Linked DNA regions of Tribolium castaneum. The protein of the gene in region 1 purifies or fractionates together with the protein of each later gene. This does not show direct contact. Links are inferred from orthologs where the notes say so. Each region holds a gene or a part of one and is shown on either strand. Other genes may lie near its edges.

Region 1 (6,020 bases):
TTAACGGATCCATCACTTATGGCAGGAACATTTTCGTTCAAATTTTGACCGTTTTTTGATATGGATGGACTAAGGAATGTTATCTTCACTATTTTTTTTTAATTTAGATGAATTCCTGTACATAGTGAGCCACATTAAGGGTTGAAAAAAAGGTGGAGATCTCAAATAAACTGACTCTTTCGTGTATAAAATTTATTAAAAATACGTATTATATTGCTATTATTTATCTTCGACACTTGGGTATATGACGTTTGCGATTTCCAGCGTGGAGGACGTGCCCCCCGCGTGGGAGGAGTCCTCCGCATAGCAATCGAAGCGTTCCGACTCCATGGAGTCGGAACCGGTCCCCCAGCCCCTGCGGCACGGCTGCGACGACCTGTGGACGTGGAACCGGTGGGAGCGCAGCCCCGAGGTCCGGCTCTACGGCAACAACTTCCGCATCGCGCACTTCCACCCCAACTGGAGCAGCGGCACGGCCGGCGTGCGGGGCACCCGGGTGCTGAACAACGGCCGCTACTTCTGGGAGCTGCACATCTCGCGGCGCATCTTCGGCACCAGCATGATGTTCGGCATCGGCACCAAGAAGGCGCGCCTGCACGCCGACTCCTTCACCAACCTGCTCGGCGAAGACGACCACGGCTGGGGGCTGTCGCACAAGGGGCTGCTGTGGCACGGCGGCCGCTGGACGCACTACACCAAGCCCTTCCGGGAGAACATGGCCACCAAGATCGGCGTGCTCTTCGACGGCATCGCCGGCACGCTGAGCTACTACAAGGACGAGAAGTACCTGGGGGTGGCCTTCCGGGGGCTCAACGAGGTCAAGGAGCCCCTTTACCCCATTATTTGCTCCACGGCCGCCAAGACTGAGATGTATCTGGATTCGATGAAGAGGGACTTCGTCAATTTGCAGGACAGGTGCAGGGCGGTGATCGTCAAGAGGATTAGGAGTAAGCAGGATTTGGAAAAATTGTTCGTTCCGACTAAAATTAGGAGTTATTTGGCTGAGGCGATTGTTGACAGTGTTGAGCCGTTCAAACCCGTCAATCACAACACGATTTCGATTAATGTCGGGAATATGTAGGCGTTTGATTCGACAAGTGAATCACGTGGATAAATAAAAGGCAAACTAAATACTTTTATTGTTGGTCCACACTGTATATGTATTTGTACCAAAAGGTTTTCTCGGTACGTGTGTATAGAAATGTAAAACCGTGGATTTGTCCATGTGCCATTTTAAAATTCTGTAAATACGATAAATGGGACGACGCCAGTGGTGAATGTTACCTAGAGTCTAGTCGTAGTGTTAAGCTATTTTATCAATGTAAAATGGGGAATTTTTTCAAATGAATTAATCAACATTTTTATACTCATGACACGATTTTTCTTATTGATTGAACTGCTAATAGCGTAATACGAAACGATTTATTGTGATTGATTATCTAGTCTTGTTTTGTTGTTGTTTTTCGTGTGTTGTTTGTTATTGGTTTGTATGAGTTTGAGAAAGTTGCACAAAAAAGTGTGTACATTTTGGCCAGTTTGTGCAATAGAAATGTAAATAAATAAAATTCATTTCTTTAGGTTCGTAAGACTGTAATGACTAAATTGATGTTTAGGGCAATTGAATACATTATTTTTTAAAAGCTGTGTCCTTTATTTCAATCAAAAAACAACAAAATCAACATAAACGATGAAAAGGTTGCGAATATGACTTTCTCCACTGTTGGTTTAGTACCATTTTTTAAGGGGATGATTAAACGTTCAAACGTAGAAATTTCACAGAAGAGACGCCACCACAAAACCTACTGACTGCGCCAATTAAGCTTTATTACGCCTGGTTTAAATAAAACCCAAACTCATTGTATATTATTTTATTGTAAAACAACGTAACAAAACAGTTCAAGGATTAGAATTCGCCTCCTTGGCGTTCTGCAACGCTTGCGTAATATACAACTTAGCCAAACTCTGCGAGCACAACTGGGAAATGGCCTGACTATACGTATTAATCTGTCCCGCGATAATCATCGGGTTCAGCCTCGGGGGCACCGGATGTGGCCTAAACAGCTTATTAATGTCCTCTTCGGGCAATGGGGGCTCGTCTTTCGCGGCCCTAGCCGCATTTTCCTGCGCCCTCTTTTGCAAATATCTGTGTTTGTCTTGCTGTTGCCGGCTGACCAACTGTTGGTATCTATTAAACTTGATCGCTTCTTGGTTGAGTTCGTCAACTCGGTCCATGAGGCAGCGCAATTGCCCCTCGAGGACGGAGGCGGTTCCCAAATCTAAAAATTTCGAGCCTTCTTCTTCCGGGACAAGTTCTTGCAATTCGGACATCATGATGTTGGTCAAGGCGGAGTTTTTAATAACGAAGGGGACCTCGATGAAGAGGTTCTCGTATCCGACTTTGAGCTTCAAGAGGGCCTCGGGCGTGAATTCGCCCTCCTTGTACATCTCAATGGCTTGAGGCGTCAAACGGTAGGCTTTAAGTGTGAGGAACCCGCGCGAGGATTTTTGAGTGTCGTAAATCACAACGACGGATTCCTCGATTGAGGTTTGGTAGTGGAATTGCGATTCGAGAAGAGGGAGGCTGAGGAAGTTCCCGACGTCGGCGCTTTGGTACCACCCCACATGGAAGTGGTCGACGTTGACGCGTCGCAGGCGCCGCATCATCGCTAGCTGGTACTCGTCCTCGTCCATTGTCTCGTCGGTTTGTTTCGGGAATGGGAAACAATTCGTGATTTCCAGCCGGTTTTCAACGACAAGGCCGAGAAGGGCCCCCTGGGCTATGTCCATGTTAGTGGTCGATTCCTCATGGCAGTGTTTTACGATCTTCATGACGGCCTGAAAGAGGTTAGGTTCCGTATGTTAGGTATTAATTACTAACTGAGGTAGCCAAAGTGTGACTTTTGGGTTTAAATAAACTGAAGGGATATTTACCAAGCCGTCGGCTTGCACGTAAGCAATCGTCGAGTCATTTTCAGGCACACGCCTCGAAGCAGCCCCACGAGACGCCATTTTAAACTGCCAAAAATACCTGCCAATGTAGCGCAAACAAAAACTCCACAATTGCTACAAAAACACAATTTTCGTAAAAATTGCCAGCCGATAATGGCCTTATTTAACGATTACGTTGTTTGTTACCAAATTTTGTAGCAGCTAACACAATCTCGTGTTTTTTGGACGTGAAATAATTATTATATTAGTGTTTTAGGCTGATCTAGTCGGTGTCTAAATTCCCCTACGTTTCCACCAGTCCCACCTGTCATTGGAAATTTATCAGCTGACGAGAGCATTAGAAAGCAAAATAAATGGCTGGTTTAAGACAAATATCATGTTTTTGGTATTTAGTGGTGTTTGCGGGGCTGTGTTTTCTCGAATCAAACGGTAACGTAGCAGCTGAAGACGTCCTCCCGTCGAAGCTAAGTCAAAATGTTGGGGCCCCAACCTTAAAATTTTTGTATTGGTATGTTCCCCTAGCCCCAATATCATAATCTAATTATTTAATTTAGTTATTCGTGTGGTTACCGGAAAACGTTCGAGCAGTACGTAAAAATCGTTGGGGACAAATACCCTTTTATAGCCGTTGATGGCCAAAATTACGACCCCCCAGGCTTGAACATGTATTTGGCCAGACTTATTGTAAGTATGATATAATGAGTGAAAGTTGATGATTATGCGTTTTCAGGGCATCGTTAAAATGGTGATAATCGTGTGTATTTTGGGGGCTATTAACATATTTGAATACATTAACCAACCACAGCCTTCATGGTGGATTTGGTGCACAGAAAACAAGCTTTATGCTTGCATGATGCTGTTCTTTGTGTGTAATATTATCGAAGGACAGTTGATTCAATCGGGGGCTTTTGAAATCTCACTGAATGACGTTCCTGTTTGGTCCAAACTGGAGACGGGCAGGATACCACAACCTGCAGAGCTTTTCCAAATCATCGATAATCATATGCAGTTCACTGACAGCAAAATTGAACTGAGCAACGGATTCCCGAAGTAAAGTTACTATAAATTTCGAAAATGATTGTTTTGTTATCAGATTGTTCTTTTTTAAATTTGTTGTGAGTCTGGTAGTGTCATTCTATAATTTTTTGTCTGGTCACTATCACACAGCGTTCAGTATGTTTGAATGTATGATTTATAAATAACTAGATTTGTGATAAGTAAAAGTTGTACATAAAGAAATTGTCTTCTTATTTGATACCTAATAAAACCCAAAAACTCATCGTTTTTATGATTTATTCATTTGTTACATTACAAAATCATTTGGCAGTGTTTAATAGAAAGGCACATAAAATATGAATCACATTTTCCTGTCGTAAGCCTTAAAACTAATTAGCACCTTTGAGATAAAAAAGATCAAAAACAAGCAAGAATTCAAGTATTAAAAAAATAAATTCTATACAAAGAGCCACTGTCGTAATCGCTTAAATAAAATTAAGAACCTAAATCCTTACAAGTAAAAAATATTCTAATAGGATTTGTGTTTGAACACGGCGTACGTTCCTTCTCAAGGACAAATGTTAACATCAAATCTATGTTACAATTAATTTACACATAATTACAAAGTTAATAACTGTTATGGCACGTCGATCACGGCGTATTTTGCGGTCTCCTGTGTCTCAATCTCTGCCTCAAACGCCTCCTCCTATTCTCTTCCAAGTTCCTGTAACTTCCTGGTGGATAGCCTGGGGGCCGATACGGGGTCCCGTATGTGGGTCTTGTGATTCGACTAGGGGTGACAATTGCAGTGCGACTGGTGTACCGTCTGCGGATGCAAACGGCGCATCTGCTGACTCTTGAGGTCAAATAGCCGGCTTTGAGAGTCTCCGAACGCGGTTTTTGGAACATGGCTGAATCCTCTATGGTGGCCAGCCAGTAGGACAGGATGGTGGTGTAGTAGTTGCAGCGGCCGTGACCGTGGCATTCGATGAAGGGTTTGGGGCGGAACTCTTCGAGGCATGAGCCGGGGGAGACGAGGGATTGGCCTGAGCCTTCGGCACCGGCGTCCACGTGCTGCAATATATGTTAAACAAATGTGGGTTCGAGGGGGTGAAGAGAGTTACCATAAGGAAGCTGTATCCGGCCCAGAGTTCGTCCCAGCCGTTGGGACACTGTGGGATGGTTGTCGATTGACTGTGGACGGCGATGACACGTGTGACAGATTCGCAAACGGAGCATCTGAAAGCAAAACGGTTAAAAATGTACAAAAATAGAATATGTTCGTTCATACCTTGAAATATAGCGTCTGACTTCTGGTGCTGGGATGGGTGTCATCATTGCCGGCATTGGCTCTGTCGTAGACAACCAGTAACTGTACCCATTGTTCTGTGCGTAGTCGCAAACATCGTTCAAATTACAAAACAGGAACGGCATAGTATTAAATCTCCTCAAACAACTCGCTGGCGTCCCCAAATCTTGCCCCATGGCCTTATCATTCCCCATAATATGTAACAACGAATAGCCGTCCCACAATTTAACCGTATCTCTAGGACACACTGGAATTAATTCTGACTGCGAATGTCTCGTAAAGAAAAATCCTCGACTTTTGGGGGCCGGTGGTGGCGGTGCTGGCTCGCCCCTAACCCCAGGTGCCCCTCTGGCTCCTTGTAAACCTGGCAATCCTGCAAGTCCCGGTAATCCCGCCATGCCCTTAGGTCCTTCAAACCCTGGTAATCCGTCAATCCCGGCATCACCACGCATCCCTTTCCGCCCGATCAAACCAGGGAATCCGGGTTCGCCCGGTAAACCTTGAAATCCGGGGAGTCCGTCAAAACCGGGTAAACCGGCGTCTCCTAAAGGTCCCGGAAGAGCGTTAATGGACCAGTCTCCCCGATCTCCTTTCGGTCCTTTGACTCCTGACGCACCAGGGTAGCCTGGAGGGCCGACGTCTCCGGGAAATCCTGGAAGACCTTCTTCACCTGGCGGTCCAGGTGGCCCCGTTACGCCAAAATCACCACGTTCTCCTTTCGTTCCGTTCAATCCAGGAGCGCCCCGATAACCAGGCTCGCCACGCT
Region 2 (5,505 bases), on another chromosome or scaffold:
CAGTGGCTTTAGCTAACGTCACGCAAAGACTCAAGTAGGTGGTGGAAGCATATCTTGTTGACAAAACGGTGCCAATTTAGCCATGTTTTTCGATCGTTAAGCCGACCAAATACAATGAAGATTAAATTTAACAGTACAAGCTTATAGGTAAGATTCTAATGATACTAATAGTCTCAGAGATTTCTCCGTACCACAATGTGGGTGTTTTTGACGTTTTGTAGAAGGATCTTTTTTGGCCGTCCGATTTAAAAAAAACTTACTAAAATTACAACCGGTGGCTGAGGCACACTATTTTTATATTAGTCGGAACTAATATTTGACTAAAATATTCTAAAAGTCGAAGTTTGAGAAACTTGATTTTTGATAAATTTATACAAGTCTGACAAAATCGGGCGCTTTGTCTTTTTTTGTTTGGCTTGTAATGGACATGCTAACGCTTTAATTTCTTGTTATCTGTTATGTGTGACATAAACTTTTTGTAAGTACTTTCTCTAAAACTCAACTTGTGTTGGTTCCAGTTTGGACAAACCAAAATAAAACATTGTTCGTAAGATACCTATTTGTATGTGCATATATAAATAAAATTGCTTTTTTATGGAAATAAAGAGACGCTTTCTTACCCGTCCTCTCCCAAAACAAGACATTTTTTTTTATTCTTTGTGTTTAATTTGTCTAATTAGCTAGCGAAAAGGACTGCAGTCATTATATATCAATTTTTGTTTGTTTTTTTTTTTAGTTGAATCTCTCCAAAACTACAATTTTTAGAACAAAATGGACACAAATTCGGAATCCTCAGGTAATTTTTCCTTAAAAATAAGCGATAACTTTTGATGAAATCTGGTGAAAAATTAGAGAATTAAATTGAAAAAAAGTGGAAGAAAATGTTTTCTTGAGCTAATTCGCCGACTTTTGAACTCAAAGTATTTGCGTTTTAGGTGAATTATTGCAATTATATAGTTTTTAATGTTGATTTATTTAAAAAGTTTGTGTTAAAATATCTGCAAAACACGGTCAGTACCTGGGGCCCGATGGCCCAGTGGTATAAGCGCCACTTACGACGCGGGAGGTCGGGGTTCGAACCCGGATCACGGCAACAATTTTTCTATGAAAAAAAGTGTAGAAAAGGTAAGGAAACAAAACGTGAGCAAAAATAAGAGACTGAGAGAACACATAGACGTATAAACGTAAAGCGGAGCATAAAACTGACAGAAATAAGAAAATAATGCGGCAAAAAGTAAAAGTACGTAAAGGCGTCAAATTGTAAACGTAAGAGCACATCATAATAAAGGAAAATACTTTTGTTTTGTGAGAAAAAGAGATGAACGTAAAGATGAAACATAACTTCAAACTTTAGCGTTGAATCCTTAGATGACTTACTTCTTAAATTATAAAAAAATAAACGAAAACATTTAATTTATGTCTAAAAATTTTTAGTTAACTGAGATTGTTTAGTAAAGTCCCGAAAAACATTGTTAATAAAAATCATGGCCACTGCGAATCCAGTAGGATTTGCGCACGTCCAATATTTTTGACTAGAAAATACATAAATTTGGTGATTTTTGGAAAAATTATGTCCATTTTCGGTCAAAAACGTGCTCAAAGTCACAAAAAAGATGAAAACAATTTTAAAATTGTAGAATCAACTTATACGCCCGGTATCTTTTGATGAAATCTGGTAAAAAATTAGAGAATTAAATTGAAAAAAAGTGGAAGAAAATGTTTTCTCGAGCTAATTCGCCGACTTTTGAACCGAAAGTATTTGCGTTTTAGGTAAATTATTGCAATTATATAGTTTGTAATGTTGATTTATTCAAAAAGTTTGTGTTAAAATATCTGCAAAACACGGTCAGGACCTAGGGCCTTGGTGGCCTAGTGGTATAAGCGCCACTTACGACGCAGGAGGTCGGGGTTCGAACTCGGATCAGAGTAAAAATTTTTCTATGAAAAAAAGTTTGGAAAAGGTAAGGAAACAACACGTAAGCAAAAATAAGAAAATGAGAGAACACATAGACGTTTAAACGTAAAGCGGAGCATAAAACTGACAGAAATAAGAAAATAATGCGGCAAAAGGTAAGTACGTAAAGGCGCCAAATTGTAAACGTAAGAGCACATTATAATAAAGGGAAAATACTTTTGTTTTGAGAGAAAAAGAGATAAACGTAAAGGTCAAACATAACTTCAAACTTTCGCGTTGAATCCTTAGATGACTTACTTCTTAAATTATAAAAAAATAAACGAAAAAACATTGAAAAACATTGTTAATAAAAATCATGGCCACTGCGAATCCAGCAGGATTTGCGCACGTCCAATATTTTTGACTAGAAAATACATAAATTTGGTGATTTTTAGAGAAATTATGTCCATTTTCGGTCAAAAACGTGCTGAAAGTCACAAAAAAGGTAAAAACAATTTTAAAATTGTAGAATCAACTTATACGCCCCGTATCTTTTGACGAAATCTGGTAAAAAATTAGAGAATTAAATTGAAAAAAAAGTGGAAGAAAATTTTTTCTCGAGCTAATTCGCCGACTTTTGAACTGAAAGTATTTGCGTTTTAGGTGAATTATTGCCATAAAATGTTTAACCAAGTGTTTTTATTCGGGTGTTTACACAATTTTAACCCGAAATTTTGGACTACAAGTCGTTTTGTGATTATTTTTTGCCGATTATTGGATATAATTTGAACTTGGCGCTGTCGTGGCCCCCACCCTGCGTCCGTTGACATGTCAAGAATCTGACATTTTCTACGTCTAGTACGTCAGTGACAGTGCTTTTACAATAAATTAAATTTGAAATTGTTAAAAAACTGTTTATTGTTATTGTAAATACTAGCAATGGCTTCAGGTAAGTTTCCCCAACATGTTCCCCCTTGTCCCGCCTTTGGGAACGCGCTGGGAGCGCGAATCCCGTGCAGACCGCGTGTAGTGGCGACCTTATTGTACGCTGAAATTTTCCGAATTCCAGGCAAAAAGGGCAAAAAGAACAAAGGCAAAACGCTGGCGTTGAGCGACTTCCTGCAGGAGACGCCCGGCCCTGTGGCCACCATGCCCATAAGGAAGTCGACGATGAATTGGGCCGACGAAGTGGAGGATAATCATGGTAGAGTGTACTTAACCTCTAAGCTGTGCATGTGGAAGCATTTTGGCGATCGATCTGTGCGCGATGGTTGCCGTTTGTTTGAAATTCTATTAATAATTCAATCTGAAGTGGGAATGGCTTGTTTTTCGGGTGTCAAAATTCGTTTTTAGCCTCAAGGTTTGATCCAGATAATTGACCTTTACGGTTTCAGATGTGTATGACCCACGCTCGGCCAAAGCAAGTGTTGTGTTGCCCACAGCGCCCAAGGCGTCGCGGGACTTTGACGATATTATTGATAAAGTTCCACAGGAGCCCCCATTTATCGCATATCTGACCAATCTGCCGTATGATGTCGACGAGAGCGAAATTGCGGCGTTTTTCAAGAACATGAAGGTAAAAATAATAAACAGAAAAGCCTCCCTGAACTAGGTCTTTAAAAATTTAAAAATACATAATTTAAACTAAACTATTGTTATAGACATGGTTGATACTTTTTTTCACCAATAGGTGGCAGTAGAGTTCCTATATTGTCCAATAAAGGGACTCTAAATGGCAAAATTTCGATTTTTGGAAATCTTGACTTGACAGATTTCCGATTATTGTGCGATTTTAATAATAATAATAATAATTTTTTTAATGTTTTTTTCAACTAAGTAAGATTTTGCTTTGAATTTAAAATAACCTTTGTTTCAGATTTCGCACATGCGAATCCCTAAAGACGAAAGACCCGGCGAAGCGCCCCGATTAAAAGGTTTCGGTTACGTAGAATTCGAAGATAGAGAAAGTTTATTAAATGCCTTGGTTATTCCCGATACTGTAAGTAAATCAAAAAAATAAATAAATAAAAATTCGAATAAAAAAAATATTGAAATAAAAATCAAAACACAAAAAATAGACAATCAAGAATAGACGGATACGAATCGACGTCGCCACAGATTACGACAATGACAAAAGAAGAGGTGGCCGTATGGACATGAACCGAGATCGTGGTGGAAGAAGTGACATGTCGTCATTTGGGGACTGGAGATCGGGTCCAAGACAGGAAAATTCAGACATGGAGCGGAGAGGATTCAGCAGAGATAGAGAGCGTGATGGTTGGTTTATATTTTGTTATTTGTTTTAATAGTACAGTAGGTATACTACATAATACAGAAAATGAGCCGCTGAATTCAATGGAACAAAGCGCATTGCTCTACGACTTTTAGTTTTCGAGTTATGAATTTTTTTAATGAATAAAATTTTTCACTATGACAAATGGCCACCCTAAATTTAGGCAAAAATTTTTAAATTTTTAATTCGTGTGAAAAATTGATATATTATGTAAAATGAGCCGTAGAATTCAACCGAACAAACCGCATTGCTCTACGAATTTTAGTTTTTTTTTTATGAATTTTTTTAGTGAAAAACTTTGATCGCCTCTGTAGCCGGAACCGTTGCCCGGAGCGGCTCCGGGTTTGGTCGAAACAATAGCTAAAATTAAGCGCTATCAGATATTTTTTTGTTCGTTGCTCTAAGTCTTACAGTTTCCGAGAAAAACGCAAAAAAAGGTTTCCATTTTCACTTTTTTTCAATTTTCAACCGCTAATTACGGCGAAACTATTAGAGTTATCGAGAAACGGAAAAATGGAGGACAACCGGAATAAAAAACTCTACAAAATGGCATAGGACTCAAGGCGATATCTCGCAAAAAAATTTTCAATTTTCAAACGCCGATTACGGCCAAACTAAAAGAGTTAGGAGAAAATGCTTTTTTAGATTGGAAAGAGCACATCAAAATCTATAAGATAGAATCGGTTTTATTTGATTTAGAGACACTTTAAAAATTGACCGATTTTAAGGGGGGGGTGTTAACTTTTTTTTAATTTTTTTTATTTTCTCATTTTTGGCTAAACTATTCGAAAAAGTGGAACTATTTTGATCCATTCCTATGCAAAATGATCCGGGGAATCGATTGGCATCGAGAAAATTGCCAAATTCCCAATAGTTTTTTAGTTATGAATTTTTTAAAATTTTCCCAATTTTTGCATTTGTCTCCAATTTGCTCGAAAACTATTAGTCGGAGAACAATAATTTTTTTTGAAAAAGATAGATAATTTAAAGAGCTTTCCAACGATAATACACTTCATGGGGTTATCTCTGATAGTTCCGGAGCTATTGCTTGACAAAAGTTCCGGGTACCCAAAATCGACAAAAACTGCGACGAAAATTGAAAAAATCAAACATCAAAAAATCGAACATATGGACTTTTTGTGGACTAAAAACAACTTTTGTGGGTTGTTAAGACATGTAGAAGTCCATAAAAATTTACTAGAGTGAGTTTAAAAATTTTTTTTTTCGCCTCTTTGAAGTTAAGTGTATTATTACTCAGGAAATTTTAGCAAAAAAATTGAAAATTTTAAATTTCGTGAAAAGTTGGTATAATACAGAA

Evidence for each region. Proteins that work in one complex are often made in the same cells at the same time.
Region 2: the proteins of eIF3h (region 1) and eukaryotic translation initiation factor 4B purify together in Homo sapiens (affinity purification with mass spectrometry; 3 studies listed by BioGRID and IntAct, with this or other methods). This does not show direct contact. The link is inferred for Tribolium castaneum from reciprocal best matches to the Homo sapiens genes EIF3H and EIF4B.

The regions. Positions count from the first base shown.
Region 1 is NC_087398.1:6,459,604-6,465,623, forward strand, and holds eIF3h (eukaryotic translation initiation factor 3 subunit H), read right to left. Parts: upstream 3,160-6,020; 5' UTR 3,010-3,159; coding exon 2,932-3,009; intron 2,836-2,931; coding exon 1,897-2,835; 3' UTR 1,854-1,896; downstream 1-1,853. Other genes in the region: SP555 (SPRY domain-containing SOCS box protein 3), read left to right, coding at 329-1,081; SelT (thioredoxin reductase-like selenoprotein T homolog CG3887), read left to right, coding at 3,303-3,457, 3,504-3,633, 3,680-4,003; vkg (collagen alpha-2(IV) chain), read right to left, coding at 4,597-5,019, 5,070-5,184, 5,237-6,020.
Region 2 is NC_087400.1:562,310-567,814, reverse strand, and holds the start of eukaryotic translation initiation factor 4B, read left to right. Parts: upstream 1-2,685; 5' UTR 2,686-2,833; coding exon 2,834-2,843; intron 2,844-2,963; coding exon 2,964-3,098; intron 3,099-3,288; coding exon 3,289-3,470; intron 3,471-3,770; coding exon 3,771-3,893; intron 3,894-3,972; coding exon 3,973-4,171; intron 4,172-5,505. Other genes in the region: Tusp (tubby-related protein 4), read left to right, coding at 1-38. UniProt on the Homo sapiens protein: Required for the binding of mRNA to ribosomes. Functions in close association with EIF4-F and EIF4-A. Binds near the 5'-terminal cap of mRNA in presence of EIF-4F and ATP.